2 linked regions of the Astyanax mexicanus genome follow. The protein of the gene in region 2 interacts with the protein of the main gene of each other region in a biochemical or structural test. Links are inferred from orthologs where the notes say so. Each region holds a gene or a part of one and is shown on either strand. Other genes may lie near its edges.

Region 1 (10,727 bases), on a different chromosome or scaffold from region 2:
CTTACATTTAGTAGATTTGCTATTGATATGTTGCATGAAATAGACCTAATATGCTACTTCAACTAACCAAAAACCAACTAACACTAACCTTAACGTCATTCCCAATCCTAACCGTAATCCTAATCATTATCCTGACTGAAGTCCTAACCTAACCTCAGTCCAAGACCTAATCCTACCCATCACTCTGACCTTTGTTCTATTTTTAACCTCAATCCAAACCTAATTCTAACCTTAATCTAAACTCAAGATGTAAATCTGGTCCTGTTACCTCATTCCAATTCTCAAGGTTTCATATTTGATAGGAAACGTTCTTAAAAATCCTAACTGTAACTGTAATAGAACATGTTGAAGTAAATCTGCAAATATTATGAATAAAAAACAATAAATTGGTGCTTTCCTGAACTTAAATTTAAAATCAATGTTTGTTGAATACAAATCAAAAATTTTCCATCCACCAAACCTTTAATTTCATTACAGTTATCTAGATTTGTGTCTCATTTCAAACGTGCAGAATTTAGTTTTGATTACTGATCTTAAATGATTAAGTAAGTGTCCTGTATGAGTCTCCAAATCCCTCAACATTTTAACAATTTAAATTTAAATACTGCATAGGAAAAGAGTTTTGTTCACTTACATCACCCATATTCGAGCCACAAGGCCTGTTAAGGTACTAACAATGAATTTGATGATTTGTGTGTCTTTTTTCACTCTCCAATCAAAGTATCGGATAGGAGGGATCTGAGGTGTTTGGCTTACATATTTGAAATATGTAAGCCAATTTTATGTGTAACATGGCCAATCCAAAATCTTGTTCTGTGTGTAGGTTATGACCACTGTACTTACCCACAAGAAATCTAAACACACACACAGCTCCAACAGAACCAACAGAAACATTTTAATAGTTAATTATTCCAACATATGTTCATATCTAGTGGGTGTGGTGTGTAAATATTATGGCATCATGTAATTAAACAGGTTTATCAAGAATGGGCTTTTGGTTGTATCCCTATTGCAATGCTGATGATTCATAATGGAATTAAATAAAGGATTAGCAGATTTGGAGGAATTTATCTTTATTACCATTGAGAAAGTATGAGCGCAAGCCAAATAAATACAGTAATGAAATAAAATGATACTGATATGATTTGTTATCCATCCATCCACCTTCATTTCCTCCAAACTATCAACACATCAACACTTTAAGCTGCTCTTTCTCAGTCTTTCTCCGTCTTTCACACACACTCGGACACACACGCATATATGCACAGACACACATTATATGAAGCTACAGGAGCGTTTATTTTCTCTATTAAACTCACTCAGTTAACTTGGGACATTAAAATATTCTCATTTAAAAAGCATCAAAACTACCCGGAGATATAATATTGGAACCACTTTAAAATAAGACTACCTTTATAAAGGGTTTATAAATGGTTTACAATTAGTTTATTAATGGTTACTAATTAGGTTGTAAATGCCTTAAGAATCATTAATAATCAATTATAACACATACGTAGAAAGGGCGACTATGACCTGTTGTTTGTCAAATAGTGAACCCACAGCCATCTATATTGTTGCCCTTTCTATGTATGTGTTATAACTGATTATTAATGATTTGTAAGGCATTTACAGCCTAATTAGTAACCATTAATAAACTCATTGTAAACCATTTATAAACCCTTTATAAAGGTAGTCTTATTTTAAAGTGGTACCATAATATTTAATATACAGCAAACAAAGCTGTAGTCTGCCAGACCTAAACCACACTACACTATTATTACACTATACTGTCGCAATAACAAACATACAATACAAATAATAACAAATATTATTAAATATTATCTTGGATGTGTTCTTTTTTCTGTATTGTCAAAGTATCGGATCGGGACTCGGTATCAGCAGATACTGAAAAACAAATGACTCATACTCGGGCAAAAAAAACTTTATCCCTAGTTATTCTTTTTAGATTTAAAATTAAATTGTATTTAGAATATTTTTTACTTTTTATTAATTCGTTTTTAAATGATTTTAACTGCAAGGCTGACACCTGAAAGCATGAGCTTGTTCAGGAAATATAACAGAGAGGTCTGGGCCATGTGTCAAAACAATGCTATCTGATCTCCCAGTGAACTTCAGCTATGTGTGTGTTGAGACCAGATTTCATTTAAGCAAGGAGGAAAGCGAACTTGTCCTTCAGGTTCTCTTGTTCATTCTGTCTAAGAAAAGACTTCACTCTGCATATTCATTTTCAGTCCTAATTGTTCATTTCTCATGGCTATTGTGAAGATTTTGTGTGAGTGTTTCCAAAGGTAGTGTTTAAGGTACTACATGTACAAATGTTTGTTGACACCCTAAATAGACACAACAAATACATTCAGTTGGACCTATTGCTCACACAGATGTGTAAATGCACACACTCAACATTAGTAGTCCCTGTAGTCTGGAGCAAAGAAACAAAATAAAGCACTGCTGTATTGAGCTGTGGAGCAGTGGAGCTGTGTTCTCTAGTAGTATGGTTTTCAATCCAAATACTTTAGGGATAAGGCAGTAATAAGCATGGGTGTGATCATACCAACATCCTGATTTCACTAACATGCTTGTCAATAAATGCAATCAAATCATCACAGCAACGCTACAGCAAATCCTCAGAAGAATTGCTATACAATAAGCTAGGTAAAGTGTAATATATCCATTCACTTCAAATGTAATTCTGAAGTATTTCACAGAATGAGGGATTTTGTTACATATGTTAAATAATTACTACTTACAAAAGGACTGATAATCACAGAAAAGCTCAGAAGAGGAGGTGACAGACCAAGTTGCATAACAACACCTACCACACTTTGTTCTGAGACTAACACCACATGTCCAAAAGTATCCCCCATCCCATATATTTAGGAAAAACAACTAGTTAAAGGTGCACCCATTGCTGACACAGGTGCTCTACACACACTCATCTCCATAGAACACCATTACGAATTGAATGTGACTCTCTAAAGCAGCTGTACATGAACCCAAAACCACCAGGTTGAAAAATGTCAGCTAGCCCCTGTATTGAGCTGTGAAGTTCTATTCAACTCTTTGGTGATGTTTGTGATCTAGAACTAATCACCAATCATCAGTACCTGACCTCACTAATGTTCCTCTGTCTGACTGCAATCAAATCCTCACAACATCTAGTGTAAAGTCTTCCTAAAAGAGTAAAGGCTGTTATTATAGAAAAAAATATGATTTTGGAAGAAATGTATGGGTATGGCTAATTAGGTGTGACACATTTAATTTTACAAATATAATTTTGGTAAGAGACATGCTTACATATATTCTATTATTTAACTTAATCAAATGATCTTTATGGACAATCTCCGAACACAAACCTGTGCAAACAGTTTCACAAATGTCAATTACATAATTATAATAATCACAACAGTATTCTGTGATCATGACAATCTGAATCATCTGAATCTGACCTCTGTTACAAATCTAATAAAATTCTTGTATTTTTTAATATCTCAGGGGTGAGCCAAATAATATCATATGCAATAGTAAAATTTAATTTTCATTTTGTTGCAGTAGTGTATTCTTGAAATAAAATACATATACTACCAGTCATATATGTACTAGCATACAAAAGTTTGGACTCATCTTCTTATTTAATGTTTTCTTTATTTCTATGTTTAATTTATTTAAAATACTGAATTATGTAGTAAACAAATGTTTTTGGCTTCACAATCTCCTGACCTAAACCCAAATGAGATGGTGAGTTGAGGTGATTTGGGATGAACTGGAGCTTCACAGTGTGAAGGAAAAGCAGTAACTATTGTTCAGCACCTCCAGGAACTCCTTTAAGATGCTGAGAAAACTATTCCAGATGACTCTCTCTCATGAAGACACTGAAAAAAGTGTGCTGATCTTTCACTTAAAAGAATCTAAAGTATAAAACATATTCTGGTTTGTTTAACACACAACTAATTCCACATACATGTGTTCCTGTATAGCTTTAAAGTCTTCAATATTATATCTACAATGTAAAAATCATAAAAAGAAAGAAAACACATTAAATAAGGTGAAAAGATGTGTCCAAACTTTTGACTAGTACTGTATATACATACATATATATTGTTTTTTTTTTTTGCTTTACCTTCTCTGCTTTGAGTCGCACAGGAGTGACCCTGGATGGATCCACCACAGGCTTGGGTCTCCTCAGTGTTTCTATTACACTTTGCCATTGCGGTGGAAGTCCTACGTAGCAGCCTCTGGCAGGATCAAAAGACGTGTGCACCCGGTGCTCAAAGTTCTTGGGCGCAGAAATCTCTATCTTCCTCTTCTTCTTCTTCCTCTGGAACATCCTGAGGGCCTGGGGGAAACAGCAGTGCAGTGTATTATGGTGGGACATCTTCATCTTCTCCAACCAAGCCATGAGAACACGGCCTTAACGCAGTAAAATCCCACAACCCCTGAGGACTAACAACACAGTCAGCACTTCCTTTCAAAACAAAGGAGGAGAAAAAAATCTGATGATTTCAGTCGGCTGAACACCACAAAACAAACCACACCACTCAGGTATATCTGAGTACACACACACTCTAGGGGGTGGGGAGAATTCCACCACCACACAGTCAGCAGAAGACACACCCCTTTCATGTGCAAAGAGACAAAACTACTGTGAATCTGAGTGAGCACTTAGCTTATCACTATAATCATCAGGCACGCTCTCTTCCCACAATAAATGACACGTCCTCAACATAATATATATTACAGCCTGGGGATCTCAACTGCTTAAAAGCTATTAGTCAAGGAACAATAATGCAAATATGTGATATATTCAAGCTCTAGCTCTATATATTCATCTAATCTAATTAAATGGATAATCTTCTAGCACAAATGTGTTTAAACACTTTTACAAAAACGTATTAGGTAATTATATTCAAATACTATTTATAATAAAAATCAACACAGTAATATTACATAATTATCTGTGATTGATTAAACTTTTTTTGATTTTTTTATGGCTTAGCAATAATGGATATTTAAATTAACATAAAAGAATTAATGTATTGCTGGCAAGATGATTACGAATGCAAGGATTAAAATAATTAAATTAATCAAACAATATTGTGTGACTAATAACTATTGTTTACACTTTTTTCTTTTAAAGACTTACACTTTTAATAGCAGACATCTAAATGTAAATAATAAATAAAAAATAATTAATGTAATAATGCAAATAGAAATTAAATTAATATTTGTGTTGTACAACAACTAAAATAATCAGATTAATCACATATATTATACTGTGATTAATTACAATGTATTACTTTTCTTCTTTCTTCTTAATAGTTACATTTTTAATAGTGGATATCAATTTAATGTAAGAAATATAAAAAATAAGAATGAATGTAAGATTGGCAAAATTTTCATAATATTCATAATAATGGTGTCAATTAAGCTAACAAATATAACGTACAATGTTTCTATCTGTCTAGATTCACATCTTTTAACCATCTCCAGCACTAAAACTGTTCTGGCTGAATGAGTGTGTGGTCTTGTGATGCTCTACAGCTAAAGAATCAGTGCACATTTGATCAGTTCAGTGAGGCTGTGTTTATTGAACAGAGCAGGTCGAGTAAGCACACGTTGCCTGCCCTCATTTCCCTCATGCTGGAGCAGTCTATCACTGATGGAACAATTAGACCTGCCATGACCACAGACGGACGCCCACAATCACAGGCATTGTCCTCTGTGTGGAAGTGCGGAATCAATCACCCACCACAAGACTGAGCTCAGTTGTATTGTCAACCTATTTGTGTCCAAATTATCTGTTCATTTATTCACAGTGATTTACTACTGAAGCCCAATTACTAAACAGAATTCATTTTATCCTCTCTCTTTTATCTTCTATCTATACTTCGCCTTTGTACAACTGCATTACTGCATTTGCAAAGCTTTACAAAAGAGGGATACAAATGTTTTCATGTAGTTAAACAGGTTCATGTTTTGATTTTGAAGTTTTGGTTTTGATTTCACACTCTGATAGTATCATCATCCAAAGCTTTCCACAGAAATCAGACATAACTATAACTATTTTGAAGTTTTGTACCACAGAATACCAGTGCAAGTGTTTGTGGTACGAAGAATATGTAAATAATGCAACGTCATCTAAAGTAAAGTGAGAATCATTTGGCATTGGGACATTGGAACAACATGTTGATACACTGTGTCCATACATGACTAACGTCTGTAGGCTGCATCCGTGTTTATTTAGGTCAATCAATATTTACTCACAAGTGAACATTAAACAGTGGGAAATAGACATTTGCAATAGAGCTGACATTAAGATAAGGGTTTATTACAGTTCAGAAGGTGATAGCTTATCACAATAGTTGATACAAAAATGATATTAGTCAGCAAAAAGAGAACATACATTATATATACAACACGGGAAAAAATTTAAAGACCACTTCAGTTTCTAAATCAGTTTCTTTGATTTTGCTATTTATAGGTATATGTTTGAGCAAAATGAACATTGTTGTTTTATTTTAAAAACTACGGACAACATTCAAATAAAATTTCAAATAAAAATATTTTCATTTAGAGCATTTATTTGCAGAAAATGAGAAATAGCTGAAATAACAAAATAGACGCAGAGTTTTTAGACCTCAAACAATGCAAAGAAAACAAGTTCATATTATAAAGTTTTAGAAGTTCAGAAATCAATATTTGGTGGAATAACCCTGTTTTTTAATCACAGTTTTTAGGCACCTTGGAATGTTCTCGTCCACCAGTCTTACACACTGCTTTTGGAGAACTTCAGCTTGGTTTGATGGCTTGTGATCATCCATCTTCCTCTTGATTATAATCCACAGATGTTTAATTTAGTAAAATTAAAGAAACTCATCATTTTTGTGTGATCCCTTATTTTTTTCCAGAGCTGTATAAAATAGATATAGTTTCTATGCAGTTAATTTCTAGATGTTAGAAGGACTAACCACATCCATTTTAACTTAATGAAAACAGATACGCTACATTCTGCAATTAATATGATGAGACCAATAGAATGCAATATGTCATTTATCACAGGGAGAGGGAAAAATCTGCAACTGTTTGAGAATACAGAAATTGTAAAAAAATAATTTTAATGATGAAAACATTTACTCCCACAACGTGCACTGAAGATTATAGATCAATTACCACACACTCCTGCCATATGGAAACATATTATATTTGACAGTTTTATGTAAAACGAATTACATCAAAACTTATAATTTACATTAACTTCCCACAGATGTAAAGACTTTTGTTTTTAAAAAAATACTGAACTACACCCACTTCAAAGGAGATTCAGAATATAAATGCAAAATTAATGCAAATACATGTTGCCACATGTCACCACCATACAGTAAATGCTTAAACAATGAATGAGGTCACAGCACTTTACCTGTGTATTTCGGTCACAGCTGAAATTCTAACGGTAGACGTCTCTTACAGTGATGAGACCCATCATCCTGCCTTTATGTCCATTTCAACGCAACCTGGAGATAAGAGTACACAGTAAAAATGTGTAAGGGGAGGAACTGCATGTCTGCACACTTTCCTTCATCTCTGTCTCTCACACTCTTTTCCAGTGTTTAATTAAAGGGAGTGGTGGAGCGGAGCACACACAAACAGCAGGATTTAATAAGACCTTGTTGAAGAGGATGTGCACATAGTCAGTGTGAAAAGAAGTTTAAGAGTCACTTCGATAGTCATAATGTTCTTTAAATAATGACATTTGGGGGGTTGCCTAGACTAATTGACCTGTCCACTAGCTGATCAGAAGATCCACTAGTCGCTGCAGTGAGCAGCTTTCAAGTAGTTGAAATGAAAAAGAAAAAAAACAGCAGCAGTTATATTTCTTTTGAACCAAGCTATATAATCATACGGTCATCATATAGTACAATGCACTAAATGTGAACATTTTCACAGAGATAAAAGGTCACAGTGTATCACTCATGAACAATCTATGAAGATCTTCTCACAATGTGAGAATGCTGAAAATGACCTTTAAAAAAGTGAGTCATTATATTTAACTGCACAAGAAAAATCATTCCTGTCACTTTTGTTCCATCCACTGAGAGAGGGGAGGTGTAAAGTAAAGTTCTGTGCTACTCTGTTAATGTATTTATTTACTTTATTTAAATGTGTAGCCTTAGAAGCACTAGCCTTAGCCTTAGAAGTGCTGGCTTAATTTAGAGTCTATGTTTGGCTGTTATTTAAAATCAGACATGTATAAAGTACTAGAGACCCAGACTTTAGTAAAACTACAATTGCTCTATCAAAAAAAGTGACTTGAGTAGAAGTTGAAGTGTTCTTTAAGCTCCACACTTAAGTCGAAGTACCAAAGTATTCAACAATTTTGTATTCAAGTATTGCAATTAGTTTATTCTAAAATTAATACTTAAGTACTGAATGTAAAAGAATAAGTATTGTGTAGTTATGTTGTTACAACAGAAAGCAGTGGAAAGTTCACTGCTCTGGCTTTAGTGATAATGTGAGTTTGGAATAAATTTTAACATTTTTATAATTGTAATAAGTAACAATGTAGCATATAAAAATGTATCAGAGTAAAAGTATTAAACTCATCCAAAATATACAGTGAAGTAAAAGCGGAAGTAGGAGAAAAAAAAAACTCCAATAGATACAGACATGGCATTTTAGTACTAGCATAAACAGGTGCATCCCAGAAAAATCTTATAGCACTTCATGCTTCCATCTGCTGAAAACTTTTATGGAGATGCGAATTTCATTTTCCAGCAGGACTTGGCACACTGCCCAAACTGCCAAAAGTACCAATTGGTCTTATATAATATTCTAATTTTCTAAGACACTAACTTTTGTGTTTTCATTGGCTGTAAGACATAATCATTAACAATAAAAGAAATAAAAACTTAAACTAAACAAAATTTACACAAATCCAACTTCATAAATTCCTGCTGAAACTAGTCAAAGCTGTGACCACTCCGTTGACACTTGCAATCTTTCAGCAGGATTTCCTTTATTTCCAGACTCTGTTAGCTGACATTACCACAGCTTTGCCTGTATATAAAAGAGCAGCATAATTTGATGAGTTAGTAAGATTAAATGGGGGAAAGATAGCAGGTGCTAGGCTTAAAGCTAACCATAGCTTGCAGAGACAGTATTTAAAGAAACCTATCGGTTCCCCTTGTGCTGCTACCTTGTCGTGGTGGGGAACCTTGCGTGTCTCTGTGACCCGGATAGCTATACCGGCGGGGGCTCTGCCCCTAGTAGGTTCAACCATGTCGGGCAGGTACTCCAGGTAGAGGCCAGACAAAAAACAGCACCTGGTCCTCCAGGTTGGGGGTTGTGCGCGGGGCCAACAACCCCACCACGTAAAAAAGAATACCGTTACGGAAACTTCTACGAAATGCAATACTATTAAGGATCTTACAGTAGACCCCAGCCAACCTATTGGCATTATGACCGTTCTTGATGAAAGCCTCCAACAGGAAGTCAGGAGCGCGATGGCTAGTCTACTGGGACCCAAAACCACGATCCGCTTGGGTGCATGGAATGTCCGTACCATGTTCGACACATCCAAAACAGCTCAGGTCACGAGTGAAATGAGAAGATACAGGCTGGACATCCTAGGAATAAGTGAATGCCGATGGACCGGCTCTGGACGCCAGGTGAGGAGCGATGGCACAGTTATCCTGCACTCTGGGCACCCCGATCAACACACACGCGGCGTGGCACTCATAGTTTCAAAAGAGAAGGTCAACACCCTGCTGGACTGGGAACCCCTCGGCGACAGGCTGATCAGAGCGCGCTTCAACTCCATGCACTGTAAGCTCACCATCATTCAGTGCTATGCATCAACCAATGAAGCAAATGAGGAGGAAAAAGACCAGTGGTATGAAAAGCTACAGCAGACAGTCTTTAAAGTTCCCCAACATGACATGTTAGTGATCATGGGTGACATCAATGCCAAAGTGGGAGCTGATAACACAGACTGTGAGAGAGACATGGGGAAGCACGGGTGCGGTGTGATGAACGATAATGGTGAGCGACTTGTTGACTTCTGCATGACCAATAACTACGTCATTGGTGGCACCATCTTTCCACACAAAACTATCCACAAACTCACATGGAAGTCACCTGATGGTTCCACCATCAACCAGATCGATCACATCCTGATGAACGGAAAGTGGCGCAGATCTCTTCAAGATGTTCGAGTTTACCGTAGAGCCGATGTGAACAGTGACCACTACCTTTTAACAGCCATCATCAAGCTGAAATTAAGGAAAGCGCAAAAGCGGAGTCAACATAGGAAACATCTTGACGTAGCCAAATTAAGATGCCCCAAGACCAACAAAGAGTTCTGCCTGGAACTGAAGAACAGCTTCAGTGTTCTCGCTAAATCTGTAGACGAAGACTTGAACACACAAGACAAGTGGGAGAACATCAAAAAGTCTTACGTAGGGGCAGCCACCAAAGTCCTGGGCTACAGAAAGAGAGGGAACAAAGAATGGCTAACACCTGGCACCTGGCAAAGAATTGAAGAAAGAAAACAGCTGAAAGCAAAGATGCTTAGCACAAAATCACCCAGGCTCCATGAGCAGGTCCAGAAAGCCTACAAGGATAAGGACAGAGAGGTAAAGAAGAGTGCAAGGAGTGACAAAAGGGCTTTTGTTGAGGACCTAGCAGAGAAAGCTGAGTGTGCAGCTGCACGG
Region 2 (10,524 bases):
CAAGATACATTTAAAACACAACAGAAACACCAATTATAACAAATAACTGCTGTACAACTAGCAAATTGGCATTTTCTGTTCCACACAGTATTCACAGTTCAATTTCAATCTGACTGACAGAAATGAATTTGACAACCAGCTGTAAATGCGTGATGTTAACATCTCATCAAGATACAATCCAGATACTAGCAAGAACAACAGAGGTAAACACAGTCTGAGAGTTCAGTCATCCCTGTGCTCAAACCAGCAGCACAGAGAGAACCACACCTACAATATAATCTATGTTTCATACTGTTATGTATTACGATATGTTGGAGTTTTTCATAATTAATTCCCTCCCAGGAACTCCTTGTTTCGTATCTGCACCAGCTATGGGAAATTCATAAATTACCTCACATGAGTACTAAAATTGCTCCTTCCCCAACACAGAAGTAATTGTAATGAAAATGAAAGGTAATGAAAATGAAAATATCAGGAGAGAGAAAGTGCTAAATATTTCTGATTGTCTTTTGCAGACCCTAAAATTGACCACCACTGCTACAATTAACTGACATAAATGAAATACACTACTAACAAAATGATTGAATAATTAAATAACCTAGTCAATGTGACTAGTATGATCAGTTTGTTTTTAGCAAAAGACAAATTCACACTGTTCTTATTTCCCATTATATATCTACTAGAGACAGATTATATCTGTGCAGTATCATTTATTTTACTTATCCTGGATATATAAAGATATTTGAGTGCATTATTAGCATCATGATATTCTGTATCACTGACTTCTGTTACAAATCTGATAAAATTCTTGATTTTTTTTCTTGATCTCTGGTAGCGGTTTGCCTAAATTGAATTTTCATTTTGTTGCAGTAGTGTATTCCTCAAATATATATATGTTTTAATTTAGTGTTTTATTATGTTCATAGTATCTTTATCATTAAAATACCTGAAATATTGTGAAATTATATTAGGGCAATATTACCCACCCCTAGTGACAAGCCCTGATTATTCCAATTAAGTGTGGTACTTTTTGAGTAAAAATTAGTATTCTGAAAATCTTGGGGGTAGTGCTGGCGCAAGATTTCAAATGGGGTGAGGGGCGGGGTGCACTTTGAAGAGGGTAAGGGCACTAAGACCCAAACGGGCAGGTGCTCAAGCACCAATTTTACTTGATTTGAATCTCATTAAGAGCCTATCAAATGTATACTGATTAAAAAGTTAATGTTGAACTAAAGACAAAAGTGTTCCTTGACATAACAACAACAATTGTGAAAAGATTTTTGGCACTTTTTACAACCAACATGCTTGCTCTACAGAGAACCATATTCACAAATATAACCACTTACATATTTGGTTCTATCTAAAACCCCTGCCCTGAAACTGCCACGTTATGTGTTGACTGTTAATGGAGTTTTAATTATGGAAACAGAATTACGTTTAGGCTTACACACAGCACTCATTATACTAACACACTGTCTACTATCACACACTCATTTGTTTTGTGTGTGATATTAAGTTAATGCAGTGCATTAAAAGCAGCTTACATAAGGAAGTACCGATTTACAGTAATGTAGCCTGCCTGGGTGTTTGCTGTAGAAGACAAGCAGCTGAACCTGATTAAGTAGGGCAGTGGTACAGCAAACTTGGTGCAGCATGGTGCAGCATGACCCAGACTGAGACTGAATACAGAAGAGGCCGTACAGCTGCGCACTCATGATCAGCAGTAATAACCGCATATCTCTCCTTAGTGCCATAAATCTTCACTATAATATAACACACATCTATAAATAGCATATAGGGAGTCCATACAGTCTAGGAGGAACAGACTCCAGATAAACATCACTTATAATCTGTGATTGGCCCAATTTTCACTGTCCATAACAGTCTTCTCTGGAAATTTAAAAAATGCTGTGTAAAAAAAATAATAAGTGAACAATTAGTAAAACAGACTGATTAGAACAGGCTTACCTGACTTTAACAGCAAGGCTAGAACCCGCAGTCCTATCATTACCACTTTACAGTCTTCATTATGCACGAACAGCACCTTCAGAATTTGCCTGGATTTGCAAATGCGCACACACACACACAAAAGCCAGCATTCAGAAACACACTGGGAGCATATCATAAACACTGTTTTTCAGCTTAACCTGTTTTTCAGACTTTCTTACTGGGGCAATGGACAGGCATTACATACCTGAAGTTAAAATAAGGCTACTTTCACTTTCAGTTATATTATTTTTCTTTCCCAGCTCTTATCAGTCAACTCCCTAAAATGTTTCTGGCTCCGTCATAAATATCTAGGGACAGGTATGTATTGACACTCTACTGTACCTTTGCATAGGGTGGGAGATATGGGAGGATAAGGTTACAACACAATGCAACATCACAAGACGTTTTCACAATACAAAATATTTTTTGCAATAGTCTGACATGTAGACAAAATATACCACTAGCAGCAGATACTTATTTAAAACTGATATCTCAATAATGTCCTGTACTTAACACTGCAATGTCTTAGACTGTACTCCATCCAAACAAGAATTAGAATAATCATACTGTTTGTACACCCTTAAATTAGGATGATTAACTTTGAGCCCATTCTTTCTTTGCTGCTTATATGTTTATTAATATTACAAGCATCACTGCACTGCAAATAAACAGCCAGTTTCATACTTACTGGTGGACACCTAAAACTTCCCAGCTACTCCCAGCTCCCAGCGGCCTGACCAGCTTGTCTAGAGTGGCAGGGCAGATCTCCATCAGACGACACAGTAGAGACCATCCCACCTGCGTTAAAGGAGGCAAGGGTCCATCAATACGTTGCTTTATGTATATGGCTGACATAGTATATATATATATAGTATCAGTCAAACATTTGGGCACACTTTCTCATACAATGTTTTACGTTATTTATTTATTTTCTTTATTTATTTTCTACATTGTAGATTTATATTAAAGACTTTAAAATTAAATGTCTTTGGTCTCCACAATCCTCTGATCTAAACCAAACTGAGATGAGTGATTTGGGATTAAAAGCAGCAACTATTGTTCAGCACCTCCAGGAACTCCTTCAAGTCGCTGAAAAAACTACAGCTCTGAAAAAATAAATAAGAGACCACTTAAAATGATGAGTTTCTTTGATTTTACCAAATTAAAAACCTCTGGAATATAAGCAGGAGGAAGATGGATGATCACAAGCCATCAAACCAAGGTGAACTGCTTGAATTTTTGCATCAGGAGTGGCATAAAGCAGTGTGTAAGACTGGTGGAGTAGAACATGCCAAGATGCATGAAAATTATGATTAAAAACCAGGGTTATTGCACCAAATATTGATTTTTGAACTCTTAAAACGTTATTAATATTAAGACTTTAATATTTTGCATAATTTGAGGTGCATGTTTTTTGTTATTTTGACCATTTCTCATTTTCTGCAAATAAATGCTCTAAATTACAATATGTTTATTTTGAATCTGGGAGAAATGTTTATAGAATGAAACAACAACGTTCGTTTTACTCAAATATATACCTGCAAATAGCAAAATCAGAAAAACTGATTTAGAAACTGAAGTGGTCTCTTAATTTTTGGTCAGAGCTGTATTTCAGGTGACTATCTCTGAGATATAAATACCAGTGTGTGCAAATCGATCCTCAAAGCTAAATGTGGTAGATGTGTGTCAAAATATTTGTTTATTTTATGTAATGCAGTGTAGAAGTGATTCTTACCTGTTGAACTTTGCTGTTGCTGTAGGTTGATAACACCAGCATCAGTGGCTCATGGACATTTTTGTCCTCAAATAGCTCTGCAGCTGAACACCAGAAGGGAGAGAGGGGCTTACATTTCCAAAAATATCCCCCCAAGTGACAGAAGCTCATTCAAATATAGCCCAGCCTGTGTGTGTACTGACTACTGACTACAGCCTGCTGCAACAATAACAACACTCAGAGAGAATTGACCAGTTAATAGACTACACTCCAACACAAATGACCTAGCTAAACTAGCTAAATCCCCAGCATGCATGTTTATTTACACTGGCCATAGCTTGCTAGCTGGCTAATGATCTTACCATATTCCTCTGTGTGAGCGAGGAACAGCAGGTCCTGCATGATCTGGACCATGGTGCCCAGCTGCTTGCCCTCCTCCAGGTTCTTCAGCCTCACTAACAGCTTCTTCACGCTTTCCTCCAGGTCCTGTTTGTTCACCATGGTGCTGGTTACAGTGCTGGCCCTCGGCTGGCACTAAACACATGTGTAAAACCTTTCCACTGGCACATTAAACACAGTGTAAATACAGCGAGCGCCACCACTGCGCAGCACAGCCCGCTTTTCTCCAACACCAGACACGTGAGGAAACTTCACTGAGCGTCTCTACCGCCGCCGCTGGACTCTCTAACTCTGTGAAATAGTGGAAACATGCTTAGTTCCCCTTCTGCTCCACGCCGTGTGAGGAAAGCATGCCCGTCTCTTTAGCGGTCTCTCCTCGGCTGTAGTCCTCAGGCGGGACTGGCCGCAGTAATAAGCGACCTGTGAGTCATATGACTGGAGGAGCAACTTTCAAACAGGAAGAAGCTTCAGCAGCAGGAGCAAGAGGGGGAACTGCACAGACTACTCCTCCAACACCAAGACCTGTAACTAATAGAAGATTTACTGCGAGAGGTGAGTTAATCTAACAGCTAAATATAAATATAGGTGTTTATAGCTAGTCAGCTGTTTAGGTTGTATTTTTTTTATTGAAAAAATTGTGCCGGTGTCCTGACGAGTTGTGCTTACTCCGCAAATCGTGCTACCACAGAGTATATTTGGACGTAAAGCTAGCTTAACTAAACAGGAGATTTGCTATTTCGATAGGCTAAAAGCACCACGTCAGAAATACTGTATAACGCAGCTATAATGCACCCCAGAAAACAGAATTATGATTTTTTTAAAAATCACACGAAACATACTAAACTTGAGTCCGCGCATGCGCAATGCAGCCAAGTAGCACAAACTGATGGGTAGCGTAACTCGGCAGAACACGCTGGTTTCGGGCTTGTGTTTTCTGAACACAGAAACCAAACCTTTGAGATTTATTTGTCCAGAAATGTAATGTGTCTTTCAAAACGACAAAAATAAGTTTATTTTAAGAATGTCACACAGATTAAAATATGTAAAATTGCAGAACGCCCATTAGTTAATGTAAGAAAATATATCTTATAATATTATTTCTATTTGTTTGTATGTTTTCTAAAATAATTTAGCCTATCGCGTATTTCTTAAACTGAGCTATTCCATGTCAGACCACACCCATTGCTCGACGTCATATTTATGGTCTCGTCCCCACGGCGTGGCGCTATTACACTGTATTATGACCGTATATTAAGTAAGGGAAAACCTGAAAAATACTTGATGCAGTATCAAGCAACTGAATTGGACTTATTCAGCTCAAATAGATACTCTGAATTAAATAATGATTAAGACAAATATTTATTTGATTTATTAAATATTTATTCAGTTTATTTAATTGTAACCTTAAAACTACTTTTTGCAGTGTAGTTAACACAAGCCTGTTGGAGCGAGTTGTATATGTGACTCCACAATTTGTTGTTTTAAAATGTAACTAAAGAGAGCATAATTCAATGTTGTCAGTTTGGAAGATCTGTGCTAAATTTTGTCTGCAATCATGTATCGCAATCAATGTAAGGTTTTATAAAAATATATATATTTTTTTACTTTTATCAACCAACCATAGATTTGGTAAATTACATTTAATCTAATTTCCTAAGGCTAGGACTAGATGTGTTTTCACATCAATATATTAAAATTAAGTTACACTATCCTAACAAAGCTGTACAGTAGATCTTCCACACAGATCGCCTGTATTTTAAACCTTTCAGACCTTAATTTCCAGTGATGGAAAACTGAAAGAATACTGTTTTTTTGTCTGTAATGCACAGAAAAGAAGACTCTAATATTCTACTATAAAATCTATAAAGCAAATAAATTAAATTAACTAAAATATTTAATAAATTATAAATTATTATTTTTTATTTACATTTCATTTTCATTGTTTGTAATATTTTTTTATTCTTATTGATCTTTTTATTTCATAAACCATCCCTAAACAGTTTTTTTTTCCAGTGTTTTTGCTGTGGATGGGTCCAAGTTACTGTTTCGTTGCTTTATAAACTTGATCATTGGCTGGTTTCTTGTCTGTTCTGATGAAAAGCATCTCTCAATTAATGTTATGTGCAACAAAACATTTAAAAATGAAAGCAAATATATTATGTCCATTGTAATGGATGCAGTGTCTGAAAGAGTTGAAAAGACTCAGGAAGAAGCTAATTCGAGTGACTATTAGGATTTTTTTTAAAACTGGGGTATGTGTGGGAAAGGGTTTCAGTCATGCTACGTAGATTTTAATTTGAGTGTTTGATTTTTTTTTTAATGTGAAAATCAGCATTCCTGTCTTTACACGCCCATTAATTGGCGTCATACTCGTGACCACGCCCCCACTGCGTGGCGAGAGAGTAGTGCGCATGTTGAGTTGTGCTCCACGTTTCGATGTTTACGTTTTGTATAAGCTGCTGAATTTCAGTCTGTATGTCAGTGTCTCTGGAGTTTAGTGGGGTTTAGAGTTTTAATCTGTGCACACTTCCTCACCTCGCGGTCTCGCGTTGTCGGCTCGCTGGGTGCTTGTTTTAAATGGATGTCTGTGCTTCTCTGTGATTTGGAGGAGGATGGTGGTGTGGAGCTGTGGATCATGGAGGAGGAGGTGATGAGCGCTGGGAGGGGGATGGAGGAAGAGCGCAGTCTGATCACCGCTCCGTCCATCAACACCCGACCCTCTAACTCTGCTGCTGCTGCTGCTGGGGGAGGTTCTGATGGCTCCGCCAGGTTCGTCTACCTCCTGGCCTTCTTCTCGGCGCTGGGAGGATTCCTGTTCGGCTACGACACCGGGGTGGTGTCTGGAGCCATGCTGCTGCTGAAGAAGGAGCTGAAGCTGAGCGCACTGTGGCAGGAGCTGCTGGTCTCCAGCACGGTGGGGGCGGCGGCGGTCGCGGCCCTGGCTGGGGGTTTTCTGAACGGAGCGCTGGGGCGTAGACTGTGCATTCTGCTGGCCAGCTTCATCTTCTCAGTCGGGGGCGTGGTTCTGAGTCTGTCACCCAATAAAGAGGTCCTTCTTGTTGGGCGACTCATCGTTGGGCTTGGCATAGGTAAGTCCCAGATAAATAACACAATATATATATATAGACGTGGTTTATAGAAAGTACTTTCATCCCTACCTTGCTCTGGACTAAAACAGCTGGTCTTAAATGAATAATACGATCCATTTTTTTGCAGTTTGAAAGGACTTTTTAGTTGGTTTGTACTTTCTGACCAGTTACAAGAAGTAAAAAAGTGGTGATGGTGGCAAAAAAAAAATTAACTGAAGGTAGATGGCAGAAGCTGGAGGCTGGATGGTGAGCAGCTGATCTGTGGTGCGTGACAAAAGAGCCTAAAGGACAAATCCCCATCAGTGTTATGCAGCACAGGTTGGACAGGTTTACGTCACATGTTGGGTCTCAACATGTGCAAATTCGATTGCATTCTGCCACAAGAACATAACTGTTATTACTGTTATTGGTATACAATTATTATTTCTGGATTAAAAGTTCCACCTTTATTTTCCTGTTCACTGCAGAGAACACAGCTTCACTGCTCTGTACACCAATTCTGATGGGCATTATGCTCTTTTAGCCCATTCTTGGTATTGGGCATTGTCACAATTTATGTTTCTCTAGAACATCTAAATCTAAAAGCAGTGAATTCCTGTGCAAGTCATTTTTACTATTTAGAAGCCTGGATTCTTTTGGAGATTGATGTAGTAGACATTTAATTTATTTATGTAGACCTACTGTCTTAAAATTCAGTTTAAAAGTATATACTGTTTTATTTCCACAGGTATAGCTTCTATGACAGTGCCTGTGTACATTGCTGAGGTCTCTCCTTCTCACCTCAGAGGTCAACTTGTCACCATAAACACCCTCTTTATCACCGGCGGTCAGTTTATAGCCAGTGTGGTGGATGGGGCTTTCAGTTACTTGAGCCATGGAGGATGGAGGTATGTACATGAGTAGGCTTATATATATTTTTTTCATTTGTTTTGCTGTTTTGATTTATATAAAAAATAGATTAATTACACCCTTGTTAACAATGTAGTAAACATGCTTATATGAGTAGCCAAAGTGGGAACTAGAAAGTTTTTTTCACATACAGCTCTGGAAAAAATAAGAGACCACTTAAAAATTATGAGTTTCTTTGATTTTACCAAACTGAAAACCTTTGGAATGTAATCAAGAGCAAGATGGATGGATCACAAACCAAGCTTAACTGCTTGAATTTTTGCACCAGGAATGGCATAAAGTTATCCAAATCATTGTGTAAGACTGGTGGAGAAGAACATGCCAAGATGCATAAAATTTTGTGATTAAAAACCAGGGTTATTCCACCAAATATTGATTTCTGAACTTCTAAAACTTTATCAATATGAACTTGTTTTCTTTGCATTATTTGAGGTCTGAAAGCTCTGCATCTTTTTAGTTTTTTCAGCCATTTCTCATTTTCTGCAAATAAATGCTCTAAATGACGATATTCTTTTTTTGATATTTGGGAGAAATTTTGTCTGTAGTTTATAGAATAAAACAACAATCTTCATTTTACTAAAAACGTGTACCTATAAATATAAAAATCAGAGAAACTGAAGTGGTCTCTTATTTTTTTTCAAGAGCTGTATGTATGTCAGTAATGGGCTACATCAGAACAAAGATGGAGAAAGAATAAACATGTGCCCCATCTGGGTTGTACACTGCATATGGGGCCTAGATAGGATCCACATGAGACTTAGGCAGACTGTCATTATGGGGCCCATTTAGGAAGCCCAACCCGGTCCCAGTAACAACACATTTACAAACCCACTCAGAGCCACATGGATCTCGCCTAGCCATTGTTCTACACATGTGAACAACATAGCAGCATGTTAGCTGGAACAGTAAGATTACATTGTAAATGTATTACATTTAAAATGTGAGGAAATAACACAACAAAAACAAATAAAAAAGGAAAGATCATGACATTTCTGACCTATGATATGATTGTGTACATTTTATTGGGGGTTTCTGTAGGTATATGCTGGGTTTATCAGCAGTCCCTGCTGTGCTGCAGTTCATAGGCTTCCTCTTCCTGCCTGAGAGTCCTCGCTGGCTCCTGCAGAAGGGTCGGTCTCAGCAGGCCCGTGAGGTGCTCACACACATCAGGGCCACGGAGAATGTGGATGAGGAGTTCAACAACATCAAGAACATCATCGAAGAAGAGGAAAAAGAGTCTGGAGGTGAGCCAACTGCTGTTTGGCAAGGTTTTGGATTCAGATAGAGAGTGCTTTCATACCTAACTTGCTCTGGACTAAAACAGCCTGTCTAAAACAATTTGTTTGCAGTTTAAGAAAACGCTTTTTAGATGGTTTTAACTTTTTGACCAGTTACAAGGTGTTAAGCCAGGCTGTCATCACCCATTCTACAATAGAGGATAAAACAAAATCAATGTTGTGGCTCCCTTTACATATGTCACACAGCAGTATAAGCGCAAATGATTATGCTTGTGACTTCTGTATCTGCTGTAACTGTAGATTATCCTTATTTATGAACAGAAAACAAAGATGTATTCTGTTGCACTCATTCTGATGTATGATGCAGATACACACAAAGAAAAATTAATTCAGACAGGGAGATTTGATAAGGTACAGCCCCTGAAAAAGCAACACACAAAACTAACAACATTCTACAAACCATTCATTTTCCGGTATAGGTAGATGTAGCTCTTGTAGGTGTTTGGGACATGATACTTTTTTTTGTATTTTCTAAACTGTAGTGTGAAAACAAAATTAACCAGACCAAATTAAATATACATTGAAGCACATTAACCTTAAACTATGATTCCAATAAATGCCGCAAGTTTACTAGAATGTGTAAAAAAGTGTTAATCCTATACACATGAGAAAATACCTGCTTATTTTTGGAAATTATATACAGATAACTTTAATGATGCCATGACATTTATTGGCTGTTTGACAGGGGGTCTGGTCCTGTGGCGTATCCTGACTTCTGCACCTGCCCGGAGAGCTCTCGTCGTGGGCTGTGGCCTTCAGATGTTCCAGCAGCTTTCAGGGATTAACACTGTAATGTAAGACACTCATTGACTGAACACACTGCTCATGTGGGTGGACAGTCTACAGAAGACAATGAGTGCTCTGTGTTTTAACTCAACACGAAATAGTTTGCTACAGTGAAAATGTTACTGAAGTAAGCATGGGCACCTTGTCTTCAGTAGATAGTTTTTATGTTGCTCTAAAAATGGGCCGGGCCTTTTTTCTTGTTTAAAAAAATAATCGTATTGTGTACACTGTGGAAACGCAAATATGTTCACATGCTTTAAACATACTTTGCTTTATTTGCTCTCTCAGCAATGATCTCCTCAAGGTATAATCTTTTGGATTATACGGCACACCTAAAACC

The links. The genes of interacting proteins can lie anywhere in the genome.
Region 1: the proteins of lrrk2 (region 2) and pak6b form a complex in vitro, tested with the Homo sapiens proteins (2 studies listed by BioGRID). The link is inferred for Astyanax mexicanus from reciprocal best matches to the Homo sapiens genes LRRK2 and PAK6.

The regions. Positions count from the first base shown.
Region 1 is NC_064408.1:74,340,829-74,351,555, forward strand, and holds the start of pak6b (serine/threonine-protein kinase PAK 6b), read right to left. Parts: upstream 4,548-10,727; 5' UTR 4,418-4,547; coding exon 4,139-4,417; intron 1-4,138. UniProt on the Homo sapiens protein: Serine/threonine protein kinase that plays a role in the regulation of gene transcription. The kinase activity is induced by various effectors including AR or MAP2K6/MAPKK6.
Region 2 is NC_064409.1:58,635,494-58,646,017, forward strand, and holds the start of lrrk2 (leucine-rich repeat serine/threonine-protein kinase 2), read right to left. Parts: upstream 4,482-10,524; 5' UTR 4,205-4,481; coding exon 4,066-4,204; intron 3,808-4,065; coding exon 3,725-3,807; intron 2,788-3,724; coding exon 2,678-2,787; intron 2,058-2,677; coding exon 1,969-2,057; intron 1-1,968. Other genes in the region: slc2a13b (solute carrier family 2 member 13b), read left to right, coding at 6,684-7,191, 7,919-8,078, 9,139-9,344, 10,084-10,192. UniProt on the Homo sapiens protein: Serine/threonine-protein kinase which phosphorylates a broad range of proteins involved in multiple processes such as neuronal plasticity, innate immunity, autophagy, and vesicle trafficking.